4 linked regions of the Kluyveromyces lactis genome follow. The protein of the gene in region 4 binds, or shares a complex with, the protein of the main gene of each other region. Links are inferred from orthologs where the notes say so. Each region holds a gene or a part of one and is shown on either strand. Other genes may lie near its edges.

Region 1 (4,613 bases), on a different chromosome or scaffold from region 4:
GCGCTAACGAGGACTGGAAAGTGATTCGCACGAAATAAGGTTGCAAATTGGGCAGAAGATAAGATCTACAACTTCCAGTAATATAATGGAAACTCTATTGGAAAAAGACCTACCGGAAGGTAAAGAAGAGCGAATCAGGCTGGCGTTGGATTTTATTCGGGAACAACATAGTAAAGAAGGGACTGATAATTCAGAGCATGATATTAAGCCCAAGAAGGACGTGTTGAAACCTAGTAAATATGGTAAAAAACGAAAGCCCACAATCAGACAGATTGCACTCCATTTTCAAATACCTAAGAGTACGCTATACGATAGGATGAAGGCAGATCAAGGACAAAAGAGGCAAAGAACGATAACTAAGGCAAACGCCGCTGGAGGCCAGAGTGATGAAATCTCTGATGAAAATAATGAACACGATTTACAAATGCAGTTAAGAAATCAGACAACGAGAACGTATTCTCACTTATCTCAAATGAGATTCAGCCCGGAAGCAGAATCCGACATGGTGCGAAATATGCAGGGTTATGTATTAGCTTATGGTAATCTGCCATTGATCTCAGATTTAAGAGAGTGCATACCCAGCACAACAAGGGCGGTACACTTGGGAAATAAATGGATCACTGGTTTCATAAGACGACATGGGGAAGAAACGGTATATGGTATGACGGGCGAGGGGGTATTGAACGCTAAATTTAAAGATTTTAGGCAATGGAAAAACAAGTTTAGTCAATTGCATGATTTATTCCTTCGGTGCTTGCAATCCAAATTAAAAAGATGCCATCAGTTTTACTACATCTGTAAATACGTTCCACATGGCTCAAACGAAGCCAATAAGATGATATTTTTTGCATTAAAAGTGAAGATTCAGCAGGTAAATGCTGGCACAGAGAAAGATGTGACAATATCTTTGCTATGTGAACCAATTACAAGGGAGTTAAGTCCCATCTCTCCTGAAGAAGCAAAGGAACAATTCTTACAAGATCTAAATTCCATTTTGAAACGTATAGACGCTAACTCTACGGACCTAGTCGTTTTGGAAGGGTTAACACAGACGGAACATTGGGACTGGTCACAATGTCTAGAATTAGTCAAAACGCACAAGCTAAACGGTAAATTGTATACGGTTCCCTGGGGAAATGACCTACTCACGAATTGTTTAAACAAGGATAATAATATTGCGGTCACTTTTGAGAAAATCACACAAGATTCGAATTCAGCGGTGGCTACCAAAGATATGGTTAACTTTACCTCTGTGTCTGTCATGCTTAAGGAAATAATCACCAACGCAACGCCGTTACCAGCCGTTGCCATCAATAATTCGCGCACTCAAAGGGACGCTATACGGCAATTAATTCGAACTATATCTGAGAATGAGTCGCGGTTGTATAGAGAAATACATGATCCTGATGCCCGTGTCACTCTTTGCAACATTTTCAATCAAGCGCGCTTACTTGAAGAGTCATTATCTACTTGCGCTGTTGAACTCACGTGACTTGTTATTGTCATTTCTGCATTTAATTGGGTTCTAGATTACCCGCATTATTTCACGTGATCAACCAATGTCACTTCTCAGTGGCAAAATTGACTGCTTACATGTAGTACGTGGTATCACTCCTGACGACAGTGAAATATATCTGTTTTAACGACGAAATGAGAACGTAAGAAAAAAACAGCGAAAGGTAAGAGAATTTCAAAACAATAATTTGGCATAGATTATGAAGAAAAGGTGCGTGTTGTGCTCTGACGGTTGTTAATTGAATTAAGGATTTATACGTGTTTAATCTAAGGATAGAACTTGTTGAGAAGCAACTTGGTATTGTCAACCACAAGGAAGAAGACCCAACCGAAACAATGTCTCACGAAGCAGAAGAGGATTTATTGGAGTATTCCGATAACGAACAAGAAGTTCAAGTTGACAACAAGGCCACTGAAGTGAATGCCGAGGGTAACGGTGAGAGCCAAGCAAAGGATTCTGATAAGAAAGGTTCTTATGTTGGTATTCACTCCACTGGTTTCAAGGATTTCTTGTTGAAGCCAGAATTGTCCAGAGCTATCATTGACTGTGGTTTTGAACATCCTTCTGAAGTGCAACAACATACCATTCCTCAATCCATTCATGGTACTGACGTCTTATGTCAAGCTAAGTCTGGTCTAGGTAAGACTGCTGTGTTCGTGTTGTCTACTTTGCAACAATTGGATCCAGTTCAAGGTGAAGTCAGTGTCGTCGTGCTATGTAACGCGAGAGAATTGGCTTACCAAATTAGAAACGAATACTTGAGATTCTCCAAATACATGCCAGACGTTAAGACTGCTGTATTTTACGGTGGTACTGAATATAAGAACGATATTGATTTGCTATCCAAGAAGGAAACCGTCCCTCATATCATTGTAGCCACTCCTGGTCGTTTAAAGGCTTTGGTTAGAGACAAGCATATCGATCTATCTCACGTCAAGAACTTTGTCATTGATGAATGTGACAAGGTCTTGGAAGAATTGGATATGAGAAGAGATGTTCAAGATATTTTTAGAGCCACCCCAAGAGATAAGCAAGTTATGATGTTTTCCGCAACTCTATCCCAAGAAATCAGACCAATCTGTAGAAGATTCCTTCAAAATCCATTAGAAATCTTTGTCGATGACGAAGCCAAGTTGACTCTACACGGTTTGCAACAATACTATATCAAATTGAATGAAAAGGAAAAGAACCGTAAGTTGGCTCAATTGTTGGACGATTTGGAATTCAACCAAGTTATCATTTTCGTCAAGTCTACTGTCAGAGCTAACGAATTGACCAAACTATTGAATGCTTCTAACTTCCCAGCCATCACTGTGCATGGTCACATGAAACAAGAAGAACGTATTGCTCGTTACAAGGCTTTCAAGGAATTCGAAAAACGTATTTGTGTTTCCACTGATGTTTTCGGTAGAGGTATTGATATCGAACGTATTAACTTGGCCATTAATTATGATATGCCAAACGAAGCAGACCAATACTTGCATCGTGTTGGTAGAGCTGGTAGATTCGGTACCAAGGGTTTGGCTATCTCCATGATATCTAGTGAAGATGACGAACAAGTCTTGGCCAAGATCCAAGAAAGATTTGATGTTAAGATCACTGAGTTCCCAGAAGAAGGTGTTGATCCATCTACTTATTTGAACACTTAGATATTTCATCATAGCGTTTTACTTCAGAATTTTTTACCAAAACTAGAAAATTGCAAAAACAAGCTGGAATGTGTATTATCAAATAAAATGTGGTTTTTATACAGTTTAAAACGAATTTCCAATAGTCCCATTATAACTAAGTAACATAATTGGAGTATAAGTGTATAAAATCAATTCAATTCTCATGAAAAAAAGCTTCATTGTATGTCGGGTTTAGGTATTAGTGTTTCCTCATATGCCCTTGCAGATAATTAAAGCGGAGACGTCTGTCATGAATATAATATAAACTGGATTTATGTGATGTACATAAGGTCTATCAAGCCGCTTGTCAGCTTTTACAGGTGAGAAAAGTAAACATATGGGCCTTTCTGGACAAGCAGGTTACGCTTTCTGTAGTCGAACCGTGTCATTGGCGTGGTTCGGCAGAAACGACGTCTGTTTCTTTTATTTTTATGTGTTATTATTGTCATTTGGTCTTCCTGCAGACGAAAATAAGAAATAGAATAATAACTCTGGGGTAAAAACAAATAAAGAGTATGTTCTTACAAGACATCCTTTACAGTCCCATCTGCTGTATTAAAACTCCGTAATTTTGGTAGTGCCGCACCTTTCGGAAGCGATGGCCTATTGAGATGCAATATAGGCAGTTCAGGACGCTCTATTTTCTGATTTGAACTGCTGTTGATCCTAATCAAATGTGAATCAGGTGTCACCTCTGATACCGTACTCAGACTTGGTAAATGCTGCGCTGCTGGAACTGATGCGGCTGGAGTCACCATGTTTGCTGTTGAGGGACTAAGTCCATTATTAAACTGCTGGCTATGATTCACAAGCTGAGTACTATCATGAGAGATGTCAGATTCGGTATTATCAAGATTCTCTGGCTTGTCTTCAATTGGAGAATGTTGGAGTGTCGACCCATGAATGCTTCCATTTTCCGGATTTTGTTCCTCTTTAAGAACCTTTGTAGCAAGTATTCCTAATGTGTTTAACATGTTGGAATCCGACGAGTGTAACTGTCTTGAAATAAATGGCTTCCTGACCGATGCAGATGGCACGGAAGTTGGTCTAGAGAGGCGAGGATTATAGACTTGGCTTTGGTTCAATAATCTGGAAAGTCTGTTGATTTCTTTGTTTTTCGACATGATCGTTTCTCTGTATTTTGTGATCTTGACCGAAGTACCCTCTAACTGTCTCTGTAGGTCTGTCTTTTGTACCATCAAATTGTATTTCATACTTTCAAATTGTTGCTTGGCGAGATTTTGTTCCACTTGGAACCCGCTCTGAAGTTCGTTGAGATTTTGTACTAGAAACATATTCTTCAACGTCAATTGTTTGGCCCGTTCTTGTGATTTGGTTAACGCTGTCATTAAATGCCGTAATGAGGTAATAATGTCATTGTTTACATCTTTGTCTTTCTCATCTGCGGTACCATTTTTCGTATCATC
Region 2 (4,990 bases), about 1.1 Mb from region 4:
ATGTTACCGCACTCTTCTCAGTTGTCGCAGTGTCAAATTTCGATGATTTCGGTTCAGATTTCGATTTAGGTTTAGATTTGGATTTGGATTTGTGTTTGGATTTAGACTTTTTGGGCTTCTCAACTTCTGATTTATCCTTAGAAACATCTTTCTCGTCCGGATTATCCTTGTTCTTTGCCTTAGCACGTTTCAGCTTCCTCTTCTTCTCTAATAGTCTTAACTTTTTCTTAATCTTTTTGATCCTCTTCTTCTTTTCTTCGCTTGTTGGATCACCAGCCAATTCTATTAGTGCTCTTTGCTTACGTCCGTTTAACTCTTCTTCCATTTTTTCTTCACGTTCTAATTCCTTTCTTAAAGGTGCAATAACACTTAAATTCTTGAACTGTAATGAGTTGGTTTCATCTTCATTAATCAATTTCCATGATTTGACAAAGGTTTGAAAGACATGGTCCTTTTGAATCGTGCCTTGAATAGGATTAACCTCGTTGGGACTGACCCACTTCTTAACGAACGGCGAGATTTGTAAATCTGGAATCATCGAGTTATCCAAATCATCTATGAATCTGCATGTTCTTATTGTTTTTGACAACGATTGAATGGTTTCGAAGGAGTCCAATTGGATATATGCCCTAGACAAAGTCTGTTTCTTGAACACCTTGCTGGAGTAATGACCTTGCACGTAGTAGAATGATTTTTGAAATGAATGCACATCGATGTTGTTCTCTTGTAAAGTGCTGATGAATTGCTCTTCTGTTAAATTTGGTGGTAAAGATCGAATACATAATTTGAATTCACGGGAAGAGTCAGCACTCCTCTTCCGGTACCTCCTTCTATTTCTTTTCTTAGAGAGCATTCGTGAAAGAACGCAGTTTTACTGAAGGATCTTGTCTGAGGTATTGTGATAACAGCTCATGTTTTCGTTAGGGATGCATTTGTGATGAAGAACAGATGTGCTAACTGAAATTTTTTAGTGCAATTAAGTAAAATAATACTATGACAAACATAAATGCAAATTGAACCGTAATCGTATCAGTAAGCTGGTAGAAACGTGAATATACCCAACGCAAGTCGGGGTTACAAATATGAATACAACATCGCAGTATAAAGCTTAATGGATTTCAAAATGTGTGTATTTGAGATATATCTACATAGTAATAAATACCGACACACAGATACACATCATATAAGAAAAGACATCTTTAAATATGGAATAATTGTGGGAAAGAATATGTATTGATAAAGTGAACAATTTGTCAACGTTACATTTATTCGTAGATCCAAGACAATTGGTTCAACTTGTAGTCAATAAGTTCTTCCTTCTTGAACCACAAGCCGATTTCCTTTTCAGCAGATTCAACAGAGTCAGAACCGTGACAGACATTTCTACCAACTTCAATGGCAAAGTCACCTCTGATGGTACCTGGAGCAGATTGCAATGGGTTGGTAGCACCCAAGATAGCACGACCTTGCTTAACAACATCCTTACCTTCCCAGACAGTAGCTAAAACTGGACCAGAAGTCATGTAAGACAATAGAGATGGGAAGAATGGCTTGGAAACCAAGTCAGCGTAGTGCTCCTTCAACAAAGCTTCGGTTGGAGTAACCAACTTAATACCAACCAATTTGTAACCTCTGTCTTCAAAACGAGCTAAGATCTTAGAGATCAAACCTCTTTGAACACCATCTGGCTTGATAGCAATGAAAGTTCTTTCAGTGTTAGACATTTTTCTCGAGTTAGTTAATACGTGATTCTGTGTACGATCCTGCTATGAACTAAGAATCAATGGAACATAAGCAATCGCTAACCCCAGAAGTTGAAATAAAGTGCATGGAAAGAAGAAAGTTACTGCAAATTGAAATCAACGAAATTGAAATATTTCTCGAGAGAGCCAACGAATGAGGATCCGATTCATGCTCGATGAGATTGGTGCAGACGAAGAAATGCCGGGGAAAATCGAAAATGAGAGAAAATTTTTCCGGCACGTGACTTTGATTAGTTGATGTTTGGGGCTTCTTACTGAGGAAGCTGTAAAAGTATGGTTCATCATACACAATAGCAGAAAGGTGTCCATATCGTTAGCAAGCGCATTCGGAGGTTGGGATTAGGCGAAACACTGTATGTAAACCCCAAAGAGTGTTTATGGATATATGTCGAGGCAAGTCTTCAAGTGACTTTATCGATCACGTGACAAGAAAAATCAACAAACGGAAATCATGGTCTCTTGAAACATTGTACCTGGCTCATCTAATATTAAGGTTAGAATCAGACAAATCAGAAAAACTTCTGGTTGACATTTGACTCAGATCACCTTTATAGGACAAACTTTGAATTGAAAAGCGCCAGTGGATTTTCCTTTGTGGTTTTTGGTTATGGACCATTTCTTTGGGGCTCTAAAGGCAGGTGATTTTAGTGTATTGGATATAAACATCGAAAGAAATGGACAATTAATTCTTGAATTGCAACAGTTTTTGAGATCCAATGACAGCATTGACCTTGAGACCCTGATAAATTCACATTCTCTTTATGAGAACAGATGGACCAGGTTTAATAATTTGGTAAGTTCATTTCTTGGGTACTGTAAAGAACTGAATCCATATTCATTATGGGAATCGTCCTTCTCTGTGTTCCAATATTACCAGGATTTGAATACATGTCTCACAAACGAGACAACAATGTACCCTATTGATTCTTTGGTACCACTGTTTACAGCTACAACAGAATTGGTCATTCCAATGGCTATTAGATTGGATGCTAACCATAAGATCATTGGTACAAGACAGCATCAGTTTCTGACCCATATTGCTTCCATCATTTCCAAATTGTTCAATAGCATTAAAGCCAGGGTCGATGATGATAAGGTCGAATTTGATCATTTGTCAGGGAAACAGAAGGTCTTGCTTTATATTTCAAACAAATTGAACATGATTTATTTCAAGATTAACTCCCCATCTTCGTGCGCTAACATCTTCAAGAATTTGAAACCAAAGTCTAATATCTATTCGTTCAACCAATACCCGTTGACAGAGAGAATCCAGTATAGGTATTACTTGGGGAGATATTACCTATTAAACCATAGAATGGTTAATGCTTTCCATCAGTTGAACCAATGTTACGAACTCCTAGCCACATTACCCGACTCTATTGCGAAACAGAACAACAGGAGAAGATTGTTGAAGTTTTTAGTTCCATGTGGTATCATTATCAGCAAGTTGCCAGATTTCAACAAGTTATCTCAATGGGACCCTATCCTAGCACAGAAATACACAGCTCTTGTGATTGCCGTTAAAAACGGAAACTTGAACAGAGTAAACTTCTGGCTTTACGAGAACGAATCGTGGCTGAAATCATCTAAATTGTTGATTGTTCTATTGGAAAAGCTACCCATTATAACGTTCAGATCCCTTTTGCGATCTATTTTCCTATACTACTGTATACCGCGCAATTCAAATAAACTACCATACTCTGTGATAAGACCAATTCTAGCAAAATCCATCGGTTTATATCCACCTGAAATGCCATCGATATATAAAGACAATTACACCGCAGAATCACTTGAAAATATCCTTGTCACACTTTCAATTCAACAATTGTGGAAGGGAAATGTGTTTCCAAGCCTGCAAGTGTGCGTTACGATGAAGACTAACGATATCTCAGTAATCTTCCCTAATATCAATGAAAAGATCGTCTCTAGATTTTCGTTGAACCAGGAAGATTCCTGGCTCGATAAGTAAATGATAGATAATATACATATAGTATGTAAAAATAGATGACACAGCCCCTCCTAACCTGATTCGGGTCCCACTATCATACCCAGTCGTGAAACACTTTTGGAAGACTCAATTTTTACAGACATGTCTATATAGATATAAGAATGCTCTCACATATATCTGTTTGTCTTCCAGGTCACATTCTGCAAAAAAAAGTAAGAAATTGAAGAGAAGTTGAAATTTTGTTGAAGTTTCCATTATTTTTGTAAAAGGACTGATGATTACAACAGAAAACAAAGAGAGAAGGAAACATCCTTATAGCTAACTACTTTGTTAACAAGCTTTTAGCCATCAACAAAGAGTAGTGATATAGGGCTGTTCTTTGTTTGAGCTATTGAATTTTCCTATAGTGAGTGAGTGTTTCTTGTTGAAAAGAAAAGGTGCAAGAAATACTTCCAAACACAGGTTTTAAGCTTGTTGTGGTTTTTATTTACAAGAACGCTAATCATAATCACTTTACAAGAAATTCAGAAGGAATTTATCCCAATTTTTTCACAGGTAAGGACTGGGTTTTATTATAATTATTATTTTTTTTATTGACCTTTGAACTTTATCTTCCCTTGTAAAGGTTAATTTGCCATTGCATAAGTTCATCTATCTATAGAGCGTTTTGTCTCCGGAGTGCTAAAATATCACAATGTCAGATAATGGGCCAGATTTGTGGCTTGAGAAGATCAAGAAATGTCAGGCTTTGACGGAGTCTGAGATGAAACAGCTATGCGAGATGATGAAGGAACTCTTAATGGAAGAATCGAATATTCAGCCGGTTCAATCGCCGGTGACTGTTTGTGGTGATATTCACGGACAATTTCATGACCTTTTAGAACTATTCAGAACTGCTGGTGGGTTTCCTGATCAAGTAAACTATATTTTTCTTGGTGACTATGTAGATCGTGGTTATTACAGTTTGGAGACGTTCACACTTCTTATGTGTTTGAAAGTGAAATATCCTTCCAGAATTACTTTGGTTAGAGGAAATCATGAGTCGAGGCAAATTACACAAGTTTATGGGTTTTATGAGGAATGTTTAAATAAGTATGGTTCCACAACGGTTTGGAAGTATTGTTGTCAAGTGTTTGATTTCTTAACTTTGGCAGCTATTATTGACGGGAAAATTTTATGTGTGCATGGTGGTTTGTCTCCCGAGATTAGAATGCTTGATCAGATCAGAGTTCTATCGAGAGCCCAAGAAGTTCCTCATGAAGGTGGCTTCTCCGATTTG
Region 3 (3,985 bases), on a different chromosome or scaffold from region 4:
ATAGTCCATTGATCGCCTGGACTTTCCTTCCATTCTATAACATATATTGGACCGCACTCATCCATTTGTTATGAACTAGTAACAGTTATCTAATCATTTAGTCATTACTATAATCATAAATTGTTGAGGTCTGTTACTACAAGTAATGACCTTTACGTATAGATTTCCATTCAAAATAAACATGTAGTAAAAAAAAAAGTCAGATAAAAGTGCGATGAAGTATGATATTATGATCTATGTACAAGTAGCGTGGATACGAATGGCAGTTAAGTGCTAGCCAAAACTATTATTTATTCTTATTGTAATTCGAAAGATTTCTTGAAGTGTTGGTAGACCTTGTCACCAATCAATTCTTGATCTTCATCAGTCAATTTACGTTTTGGCAATGCTGCCAATTCTTTTCTTTGTTCGATGTATCTTTTCTTTGCTTCCGTTAGAGGCATTTTTGGAGCCACCAATCTTGATATTTCCTTCGTTGTCAAGGTACCTCTTCTGTATTTCGACTTAGGGTTACGGATGGTTGACAATGCTGCTTCTGGAACAGGATTTTTTACTACGCTTTCAACCCAGAAAGTTTGTTGACGTGCAATTTCAGAACGCGTAGCCAATGCACCATCTGGCTTGAACTCCGGCTTAGGCCATGGAACAACCATATTGTTCTCACCAACAACAACCCTATATGGCATAATTTTCTTGTAATCTGAATCATAATACGAACCCTTGAATTCGATGTCACGAACAGCAACAGTCTTAGCCACACCTGGAGTCTCTGGATCATCGAGATCAGCGACTAGTTTGATGTCCGCTTGGCTCACGGGGACAGGGAAACTCACCATATGACTGTTCTGCCCCTGTTGCCAAAATTGCTTGGGCACAGGAACAGTGTTGGTGGGTCCATTCTCATCCAAAATATACCCGTTTGTATGCACGTCGTGCTGCGTAATGGCACAAACATTGCCCTTAAACTTTCCATTTACTATCACCACTCTATCACCTGGCATATATTTCCATTGCTTTACACTCTTATACTTCTCGGATTCTTCGACACGAGGCAACGATGGTTTCAAGAACTCTGGCATCGTCAAACCTTCATACTTGGCAAATTGTTTCGCAATATTAGAGTTCTTCGCTTGAACTTGCTCCAAAAAACGGGCACCAGCCTTCGATAAATGTTTATATGAAGACATACCCGCTGATCTATTTTATTCTAGTATCGAATACCACCGTCCTTTTCACAGAACATAAACCATTTGTGGTTCATTCCATAGTACCATATTGATACATATGTCTTTCTTGATTCCGTTCCTTCAAGTTTTTCATCGACAAATTTTTTTGGAAGGGAAAAATGAAAGCACGTGATCCGAATTAGACTATCAGATTCTTCGCATTTGATTTAGTATTATAGCTTGATGTTACATAGGATATACAAGGTGAGATATACATGCGGCACAGGGCTCCAGCTGTGGCAATGGAAATGGTCGTGAAGCACTAATTGTCAGTGCATATAGCAATGAACTCTTCTTCATTGATCTCTCCGTCATCGTCAAGATCAAACTCATCAATCATGGCACGTAGTTCTTCGTCTGTAAGGTTTTCACCTAGTTCGTGAGCTACACGTTTCAAATTCTTCAATGAGATCTTGCCCGTGTTATCATCGTCGAATAGCCTGAAGGCACGTTTAATTTCATCCAATGGGTCTCTTTGCAATATTTTTTCTCCTACTACCAGGTAAAAATCCTCGTATTGTATTAACCGGCGTCCGTCTGCATCATACCTATCGATAAGTTCTAATATGTCTCCTTTACTGAGTTCAAAACCCAATGCCCTTAGAGCGACTTTGAATTCATGATAGTCGAGATATCCATCATTGTTCATATCAAAGAGTGAGAACGCCTCGTATATTTCTTGTTTCTGTTCTTCTAATAATTCCTTTTGTAAAGTGGATTTATCCACGGATTTCGCTACTCGTCCACTGGGCCTTCTGTTATTCATGTTTCTATGATCCGAATTGGGTTAGATTTCTTGCCGTTGTGAGTCTTGGCTGTAAGTCAATCGAACCTCTTAATTTACCTCTTTTGCTGCACGCGTAAACTTCGTGAAACTTCTTTAAAATATGTTTAAAGATTTCATGTTTATGATTATTTTGACAATATTGAGTTTAAGGAACATAAACACATATCCTGAAAGAAATGAAGGCAATAACTGATGAATACCTTACAGTACTGCCAGATCAACTACTCTTTAGTTCTAAAATGAAACAATGGATCTGGAATTAGGAGATAGGGTAGTGCTACGCAGCCTGGCAGGAACTGTACGGTTTATAGGCGAGACGCAGTTTGCAGCGGGGATTTGGATCGGTGTTGAGTTAGATGAACCCTTAGGGAAGAACGATGGTAGCGTCAAGGGAGTCAGGTACTTTGAACTCAGTGAGGGTAGAAAAGGTCGGATGTATGGTATATTCAGTAGAAGAGAGGGTATCTATAAAAATTCTGCACCGAACTCGCAACAATTTCAGGATCCTGATACTACGAATTCTAACTCATCAGATCCCGAACGATTGAAAAAGATCATTGGAAGATTGGAAGTTAAACTCAAGTCAGTTAATGACAAATGTATTTCGTTTGAAAAGGAGCTGGGATTGAGATCAAAAGAGCTTGAAAAAGTGCAATTTCTCGAGGAACAATTGGAGAAATTAACTTTAGGACGAGATGAGGCAGAGCAACGCAATGATTCACTGATATTTGAATTAGAAAGCTTGACCATTGCTCATGAAAGTGCTTTGAAGGAGCTTAATGATTATAAAGAAGAAATTTTAATAAGAAGAAAAGCAGACGTTGATGTCAACACTGATCAGATAGAATCAGTAGAATCAGATGCCCTTATCAAGCAAAACAGATTATTAACGGTTGCACTACAAAAGCTGCAATCAGACCTAACAGAAATACAGAAACAATGCAACGGTTTGAAAAATAGTAATGAAGAACTGCAAACCCAGGCAGAGACATATTTGCGAACAATATCAGCCTTAGAGAGTAAACTATTTGAAACAACAAAAACATTAGATGAATTGAAACAGCACTTCAGTGCGAATAGTAATTCTAATAACATCATTGAATCTCTTACTACAGAAAACCATCAATTAAGTACGGAGCTTGATTGTCTTAAGTCAGAGTTACTCAAGTTGAAACAAACTCAATTGGCAGATGAAGAACTAGAAGCACTTTATAAAGAGGTCGAATCGGAGCTAAATTCTCAAATAGCGAAACTTCAGGAAACTCTCTCTACTGACGAGAGCATAATTAACGCATTGAAGGAAAACAACAAAACCTTAAAGAATGAATTACAATCACTGCAAAATAAATCGGGGCAATATTCTCAAGAAATGTCACCAGAAGTTGAAGAATTACAAGCAGAACTTACTTCGTTACAATTAAGGAATAATGAGCTTCAATTCCAGAACGAGGTATCTTCTGCAAAGCTTAGCCATCTGAAAGTGGATAACAAAGTGGAGCTACTTTCTCAAATTAAAATCATATACCTGAGAGACCAACTTCTTAGCCAAGACGCTGTGAGTATATGCACATCTCAACTAATTTTATTCATATATTATGCGATGATTAAATATGATGCTGGTGTGACATATTTGAAAGAAAAGATCAATTTGGACTTATTATTGGAATCAGTAAAAAATAGTCATCCAATCAAGGTTCAATTATCTCTATTAGAAAATGCAGACATCACTTTATCGGATCCTAGGGTTCTATTTACGGCTATTCAAATGTTTCTTGAAGCGTCGGTGGAAAGACTTTTGTCCGATACTGAACACTTGTCAAAGGAATCTGATCAGCAGCGAATAAGAAGCCTGTATAACACTTTCCATACGATTAACACCTTCGTCACCACGAAATTGGAAGAGCTTTATGAATTTAATGGAACCTTAAAGTCTGATGTGAATTTATTCTCGATTTATGTTCACTTTGCAACG
Region 4 (5,735 bases):
TTCCTTAATGCTTGGTGGGATATCACCGGGAACAGATCTTGGCATTCTCTTTGATTTAGTGTGGTCTGGTTGAGTAGGATGTTCCGAAATGGAGAATGATCTTGCCATTGGCTTTGGTGGAGCTGAAGTTGCGGACGGTGTGGTGAAATCTGAATGAACAGAAATGTTAGCAACGTTTGAACTGGCAGATGCATTGTGAGAACCTATTCCTGCTAGGTGCGGAGTGGTGAGAACCGCTGTATGATTAAGTAAGCTTCGTGGTTGGCTTGGTGTACCGAAATTTCCCGACGTATTGTGTGGTGGTATTTGAGTTCTGGAGGGTTTGATCTTCTTCACCAAATGTGAGGGATTAGACACATCAGCAGAGGTGATAGAGCTATGACGACTGTTTGCTAAAGGAATCGGTGTCTTATATTTTGGTTTATGCGATTCAGATAGCAATACTGGCAGTTTCTTGTATCTCGCTCTTGGAGAAGCCATGGCATGGTTTTTCAAGTAGGCATATGCAGACTTTTCTTTGATGCTACTGATACTCTTGTCTTTGTCTTGTTGTAACATCAATTGCATCTTTTCATCGATGTCAGCAGATGGTTCTCGAACTGTGTCCATTCCAACGCCGAGTAAACTGCGACGTTTTCTTGTTTCGTTGTATAATCCACGATCGGTTAGCTCAAATTGGAAGTCGTGCGCGGCATTAGCTAAACCGTTTGCAACTAGGGCTTCAGGATTAGATCCGACAATTTTAACAACTTCAATGCCATACATGATATCTCCGAAACGTTTCAAGATTTTGTGAACTTTTAGAAGTTGTTTGATTTCCGTTGTACTTTTGGGGTTTTCGATGGATTCCCAGTATATTATGATTAGCTTGAACTTGTAATTGGTATTGAATGCAACTCCACATATTACCTCAATCAACCTCTCTCCATCTTTTTGTAGTTTCATATCCAAATCAAATATGTCGGAATCAGTGACACCCGAATTGAATAATACTAAATTGACATTGTTGAAGCTGTCTGTCTTGTAATCGTTGGTTAGTCTTATAAAGCCTGCATTTAGTATCGGACTATCTATCGTGTATGTTGAGTCCTTTGCTAGGTGGAACTTACTTAAAAGCCACTGGCCTGAGATACATTCCCAGGTCTTTGAATATAGTACGATGTCAATTTGTGATTTGATGTCTTTGCTTTGAAGCTTACTATCTTTCAAGATTCCTTGCAGCCGCGATAACAACTCGTTAAAATACACTTCTTTCAAATCTAAAGGAGACCAGACATTTGAATTGTTTCTTACCGGTGTTGTGAAATGATTTTCTTCCAAGTGTAAAGGTGTGCTGTAATTCATTGTGCCTGATTTAATGAAAGAAGACGCTTCAAAAGTGGAATTGGCGTCCAGATACTTATTTTTTTTTGTAGTGGAGCGTAGGGAATGAACTCTTTTTCCTACTCCAAGTTCCTTACTCAATCTTAGAGCCTCTTCTTGTTTTTGTTGTTTGATTTTCTTCAATTTCAGTATTTTATTGAACTTAGATCTCCATTTCTTCATTACATGCATTGTAATAATCTTTTTCTTAAATATATCGGCTCTCACTTCAAGGAATACGAAGTATATTTGTTCATGTATGAATGACCGAAATAAATCCCTGCTCAGATTTTCAATATGAAGGGCGTTAGCTTGTCTCTTTTGAATCTCATTTTTAATGGTTTTTTCTAGTTGTTGCTCCATTAAAGTAGTAAAGATGTTACTGCTGGTTTCATTGACAATTTCATTTCTTCTTTGAATAGCTGCTTGTTGTACTTTCTCTAATTCCAGCTGTCTCCGCAGCTTTTCTTCATTTTGTTTTTCTAAGCCTTGCTTTTCATTGAGAAGTCGGGCTTTTTCGTCTAACTGCTTTTGCATGTTGAACTTTTGCTTTTGTTCCTCCAGTTTTTGCTGTAATGCCTGTTTTTTTACAAATTCGTCTGTCTTTCCAAAAGGTGCAGCTTGCCCGAGCTTTACACCTTCTAATGACACGTCGTTAGGGGCTTTTTTAACATCAGTTTTAGGTTGTGACGGAGTACCAAACATAAACGGTTGGTTTCCATTGGCCGTAGCATTCTTTTCTGTGATTAGGGAAGTACTTGTTTGGAAGCTAAAGGGTCGGTTTGCAGATATAGGAAGGGTTTCCTTAGCACCAGATGTTCCAGCAAAGTTTTGGTTATATTGCGTTAGCTGTGATTCTTCTAGTTGAGATACGTTGTCCAGGAGAGACCTCTTGTTAGAAGGAATTGTGTCAACATTGTGTTTTCGATTATTTATAAGAGCAGTCGTGGTATTTCTCTGTAATTTTTGCTCCACGCATGAAACCCAATTCTTTCTCATTGGCTGAGTTTCTGCTAGGAAATGAGAAGTTCCAGTGAGACTTTTCAATAATATCTTCCCATCACCGAAATCTATGGAGTAGTAGCGGCAGAATGTCTCCAAATCGTTTGCATCACGAAATAAAAAGTGCTCTATAAAATATTGGTATGGTAAGTTCCCTCCCTTTCTGGTTACCGCTAAAGAAAGAGATTTGAATGCATAAAATCTAATCTCGTTGAGATACACCTGCAAAAATGAAGACATTAGAAAGGGTACCTTATCAGATTGAATTAATTGAAAAAATCGGTCGTATAAATTCATGCAATTCTCCGTTACGACAACACCTCTTTCCACATGGTTAGAGTTCGCTAGAATTCTTCTGAAGGTAATTGCTAACTGCATTAGCTCGTCATTGAAGATATCATTGGGTAAGTCCTGGGCCATCTTGTCATATTCGGGATCTCTTATCTTACTCAAAAGGGCGTACGCTCTAAATTCGGCTTCGTTGGGGCATTGTCCTCCTTGATCTCTTACTTCGTCGTATATTTCACATAAAGTAATTATCGCCTTGTGTAGTTGTTCAAGTTCCTGTTGAACACTGAAGGTAATATCTGTCTTTGCCATTTGGTGCAAAATTAGCAAATGTATCCTTACAATTCTCTCGTTACAATCAATGGCTTCAGGTCCTGAGTAATTCTGGTAAGTAAAGTCCTGTCTTATTGATCTCATCCTGTCCCATAGAAAGGCTTCACAGTCTGGTAGTAGAGGGACGATTTCATCTACTATGTAGTCCAGTGTTCCCAATAACACATGAGGAGGTCTAACATCAGACGGTAATGGTGGAGCAGCTGCAGCTGCAGGTCTAGCGAATACCTTTAAGGCTTTACCTCTATCAACTTTTTTATCACTTGGATTAGCTTTTTCATACCTCACGACATTGTTTTCAACACTTCTTCTAGCTCTCTCAAAGATTGGACACATATCTTGACACGTACCTTGGAAAATGATTGCTTCAGTAAGATCTTTCGCCTGATCTGCTTTGTCAACGAGTCCTTTCTCTTCCATTACTTCTCTTTCTTCGTCTCTCATCTTCTTCAATGTTTCCCAGAGTGTAGTCACATCAGATATGTTGTCTTCCAGTTGAAGCATGCGTTCCTGGTTTTTTTTATCCCATTCGTCTTGAACTATCGGTACAGGTTTCAAGATGGGTGCCTGTCTTATGAGATATCTCGGTAGTTCTCTCTCGGCTGGTTTTGTCGGCTGTTGAAACCCAAGTATCGCTGGATTTCCATCAAAAAGTGTGCCAATGATTTCATTTTGATCCTGACTCAAAGTTGGTACCATTTTCTTTATTAGCTTCCCCTTAGAGCCATTGTTGGATGTAGTCTTGCTAGATTTACCATTAGGCCTCTTAAATTTGCGTTTCTCCGCATGATTACTAGATGATCTAGAGCTATCATGCATACTAAAGGGTGCAGCAGACGGTGGTATGGAGGAACCCCCAAACATTGACCCTAACATGGCTACAATGCACGGCCTACTGGTGCAGGAGTTGTTTTCAACTCAACATCTATATAATGGTTAATAGTTTACTTGGGTTATGATTCTTTGTATTTCATTATATCTTCAAATGCTAAAAATTAATGCTACGGCAGTATGTTCAGAAGAACTGCATTAAGGTATCTATAGAGAGAGAAGCCCTCCTAGTGTATATGAACTAGGGCAAATTTACGTGTAAGAGTATGAAACGTGACTTGTTAAGTTCTTTTTCATCGACGGCGTGCACTATGAATTGTCTCTCTATGATAGCCTCTTCGAGGAACATTTCAAGTACATCTTGAGTTCTAAGTTGAATTCCGATCAATGCCGATACCGTTACACGTTGTTCGGTATACCAGACGAATAACGACTCAAGAGTGGTTAAAAATGGTACAATTAAGTATTCGTTGTATATTACATCCATTGCGATTATAGTCAGATGGAAGTTCGGTCCGCATTGAAGAACGGGATCGTTTCTAGATTTCTTGCTACCTGAGAACAGTTCCCAATCTAACAGCGCTATGTCAATCTGACATTCCAACTCAGTACGTCTCTTAAGATCATCTAAAGCAATTGTGTTGGATTTAAGCAGTCTCCGTCTACACTCTGACTGGTTTTCTTGGATGTTATCTTTTAATCGAGGCAAGATGTCCTTTTGATCAGTGGCCACATATTTATCAACGTAATTAGAGAAAACAATAGGAAACATTGGTGATGTTCCAGTGCCCAGTTCAAGGACATATCGTAGTTTATCATCTTGCTGACATTGAAAAATGGATGTAATATCTACCTCATCCTTTACACCCCCTCTTGTGAATATGGTAGCGTTGTCATTGTATAATAACCATTTGAGAATAAAAGTAGACGTGGTCCAAATGACGTATCCAGTCGTCGAGTTATTATTATCACGGTTGGAATTTAAAGAGGTTAGGTTTTGGTGTATACTAAATGTATACTCATCTCTTTCTGGTGCTTTTTTTTTCCTGGTCACTAGGCGATGTGGCCCAATGTCTATCTCTAATTCTGATTCGTTTCTCGACAGAATACCGAGATCTTGAGATAAATCGTTTGCGTTAGCCTCTAATTCCACATATCGTTCGAAAATGTACTCATATAAAGTCTCTTCATCGAGCAGTACTAATTCCATGATAAACAGATCGTCATCTTAGTAAGCTCTGCGCTGAAATGGATTAGTGCCCATTGTAGGTATTCTGTAACGAAATATGAATTATGAATTACATTTTATCTGGTTATACATGATTACGTGAAAGAAACAAAAATATTCGGAGCACTAGAAACTGCCTTTCAAATTTGCTTCAGGAAGAATTATCATTTTGCGTTTAGATGATGTTCTTGGCTAATAGAATTTCGGCAATCAAGATACCTGCACCTGCAGCACCGATAACGGTGTTGTGGGACAATACAACCATTTTGAAGTCCAATACAGGATCTTCTCTGACTCTACCAACAGATACACCGTAACCATTGTCTCTTGTTCTGTCCAATCTTGGTTGTGGTCTATCATTTTGTTCCAAGACATGGATGGTTTGTTTTGGCGCAGAATGGCATCCCAACTTAGCAGCATCACAGACATAGTCTCTTAGACATTGTTTTACTTCTTCGACAGATGGAGCTGGCTGGTTCTTGAACTTCAAAGAGATACATTCAGTGTGACCGTCAGAGACAGCAACACGGTTACATTGAGCAGAAACCTTGATTTCGTCATCGCTCAATAGGTTAATTTGAGATTTATCTTGACTCAAAGCACCCAAGATCTTCTTGGTCTCCCATTCGATCTTGTCTTCTTCGCCGCCAATGTAAGGGATGATGTTATCTAAGATATCGATACTTGGGAC

Evidence for each region.
Region 1: the proteins of SAC3 (region 4) and SUB2 are in contact, whole or in part, in a cryo-EM structure (PDB 8U8E), measured with the Saccharomyces cerevisiae proteins. The link is inferred for Kluyveromyces lactis from reciprocal best matches to the Saccharomyces cerevisiae genes SAC3 and SUB2. Residues at the interface, in NP_010443.3 of Saccharomyces cerevisiae: Arg120, Gln125, Asp182, Ser186, Ala187, Lys188, Asp189, Leu190, Ala193, Ile194, Phe240, Pro243, Ala244, Ala245, Ala246, Ala247, Arg288, Arg291, Gln292, Thr295, Tyr296, Asn298, Glu336, Gln337, Lys340, Glu347, His463, Leu465, Asn466, Lys467; in NP_010199.1 of Saccharomyces cerevisiae: Ser13, Asn15, Gly63, Lys65, Pro71, Glu72, Arg75, Ile78, Asp79, Cys80, Gly81, Phe82, Glu83, His84, Pro85, Glu87, Gln145, Asn148, Glu149, Arg152, Lys155, Tyr156, Met157, Pro158.
Region 2: the proteins of SAC3 (region 4) and THP1 are in contact, whole or in part, in a crystal structure (PDB 5UBP), measured with the Saccharomyces cerevisiae proteins. The link is inferred for Kluyveromyces lactis from reciprocal best matches to the Saccharomyces cerevisiae genes SAC3 and THP1. Residues at the interface, in NP_010443.3 of Saccharomyces cerevisiae: Met86, Ile87, Thr92, Ile93, Leu95, Val96, Gly97, Pro98, Leu99, Ile100, Pro103, Asp104, Asn105, Leu106, Gly107, Phe108, Gln109, Lys110, Arg111, His113, Arg116, Leu118, Pro119, Phe121, Leu122, Ile123, Asn124, Gln125, Glu126, Ser354; in NP_014569.1 of Saccharomyces cerevisiae: Leu23, Ser24, Gly27, Arg28, Ile30, Ala31, Gln34, Lys35, Thr38, Arg73, Asp74, Val75, Asp76, Pro77, Trp78, Ser79, Ala80, Trp81, Ser82, Ser83, Ser84, Asp85, Leu86, Ile87, Phe88, Leu123, Lys126, Leu127, Phe130, His131.
Region 3: the proteins of SAC3 (region 4) and CDC31 are in contact, whole or in part, in a crystal structure (PDB 3FWB), measured with the Saccharomyces cerevisiae proteins. The link is inferred for Kluyveromyces lactis from reciprocal best matches to the Saccharomyces cerevisiae genes SAC3 and CDC31. Residues at the interface, in NP_010443.3 of Saccharomyces cerevisiae: Tyr778, Leu779, Met782, Asp783, Arg785, Ala786, Glu787, Lys789, Arg790, Asn791, Ser792, Thr793, Leu794, Lys795, Lys796, Lys797, Phe798, Phe799, Glu800, Lys801, Trp802, Gln803, Ser805; in NP_014900.3 of Saccharomyces cerevisiae: Leu18, Glu20, Gln21, Glu24, Glu27, Leu31, Phe32, Met34, His43, Glu44, Val47, Lys50, Ala51, Leu52, Gly53, Arg92, Glu97, Ile98, Arg100, Ala101, Leu104, Phe105, Ile113, Leu118, Arg120, Val121, Ala122, Glu124, Leu125, Glu127.

The regions. Positions count from the first base shown.
Region 1 is NC_006041.1:1,957,919-1,962,531, forward strand, and holds SUB2 (ATP-dependent RNA helicase SUB2), read left to right. Parts: upstream 1-1,851; coding exon 1,852-3,165; downstream 3,166-4,613. Other genes in the region: KLLA0_E21913g (uncharacterized protein), read left to right, coding at 86-1,492; FDO1 (Fdo1p), read right to left, coding at 3,708-4,613. UniProt on the Saccharomyces cerevisiae protein: ATP-binding RNA helicase component of the TREX complex involved in transcription elongation and required for the export of mRNA out of the nucleus. SUB2 also plays a role in pre-mRNA splicing and spliceosome assembly.
Region 2 is NC_006040.1:314,588-319,577, reverse strand, and holds THP1 (Thp1p), read left to right. Parts: upstream 1-2,370; coding exon 2,371-3,732; downstream 3,733-4,990. Other genes in the region: UPF3 (Upf3p), read right to left, coding at 1-853; YNK1 (nucleoside diphosphate kinase), read right to left, coding at 1,266-1,724; type 2A-related serine/threonine-protein phosphatase SIT4, read left to right, coding at 4,406-4,990. UniProt on the Saccharomyces cerevisiae protein: Component of the SAC3-THP1 complex, which functions in transcription-coupled mRNA export from the nucleus to the cytoplasm.
Region 3 is NC_006039.1:835,369-839,353, forward strand, and holds CDC31 (centrin), read right to left. Parts: upstream 1,993-3,985; coding exon 1,489-1,992; downstream 1-1,488. Other genes in the region: HNT3 (DNA 5'-adenosine monophosphate hydrolase), read right to left, coding at 1-65; MRPL40 (mitochondrial 54S ribosomal protein uL24m), read right to left, coding at 297-1,187; NIP100 (Nip100p), read left to right, coding at 2,261-3,985. UniProt on the Saccharomyces cerevisiae protein: Functions as a component of the spindle pole body (SPB) half-bridge. At the SPB, it is recruited by KAR1 and MPS3 to the SPB half-bridge and involved in the initial steps of SPB duplication.
Region 4 is NC_006040.1:1,417,674-1,423,408, reverse strand, and holds the start of SAC3 (Sac3p), read right to left. Parts: upstream 3,862-5,735; coding exon 1-3,861. Other genes in the region: RKM5 (S-adenosylmethionine-dependent methyltransferase), read right to left, coding at 4,058-5,026; HOM2 (aspartate-semialdehyde dehydrogenase), read right to left, coding at 5,220-5,735.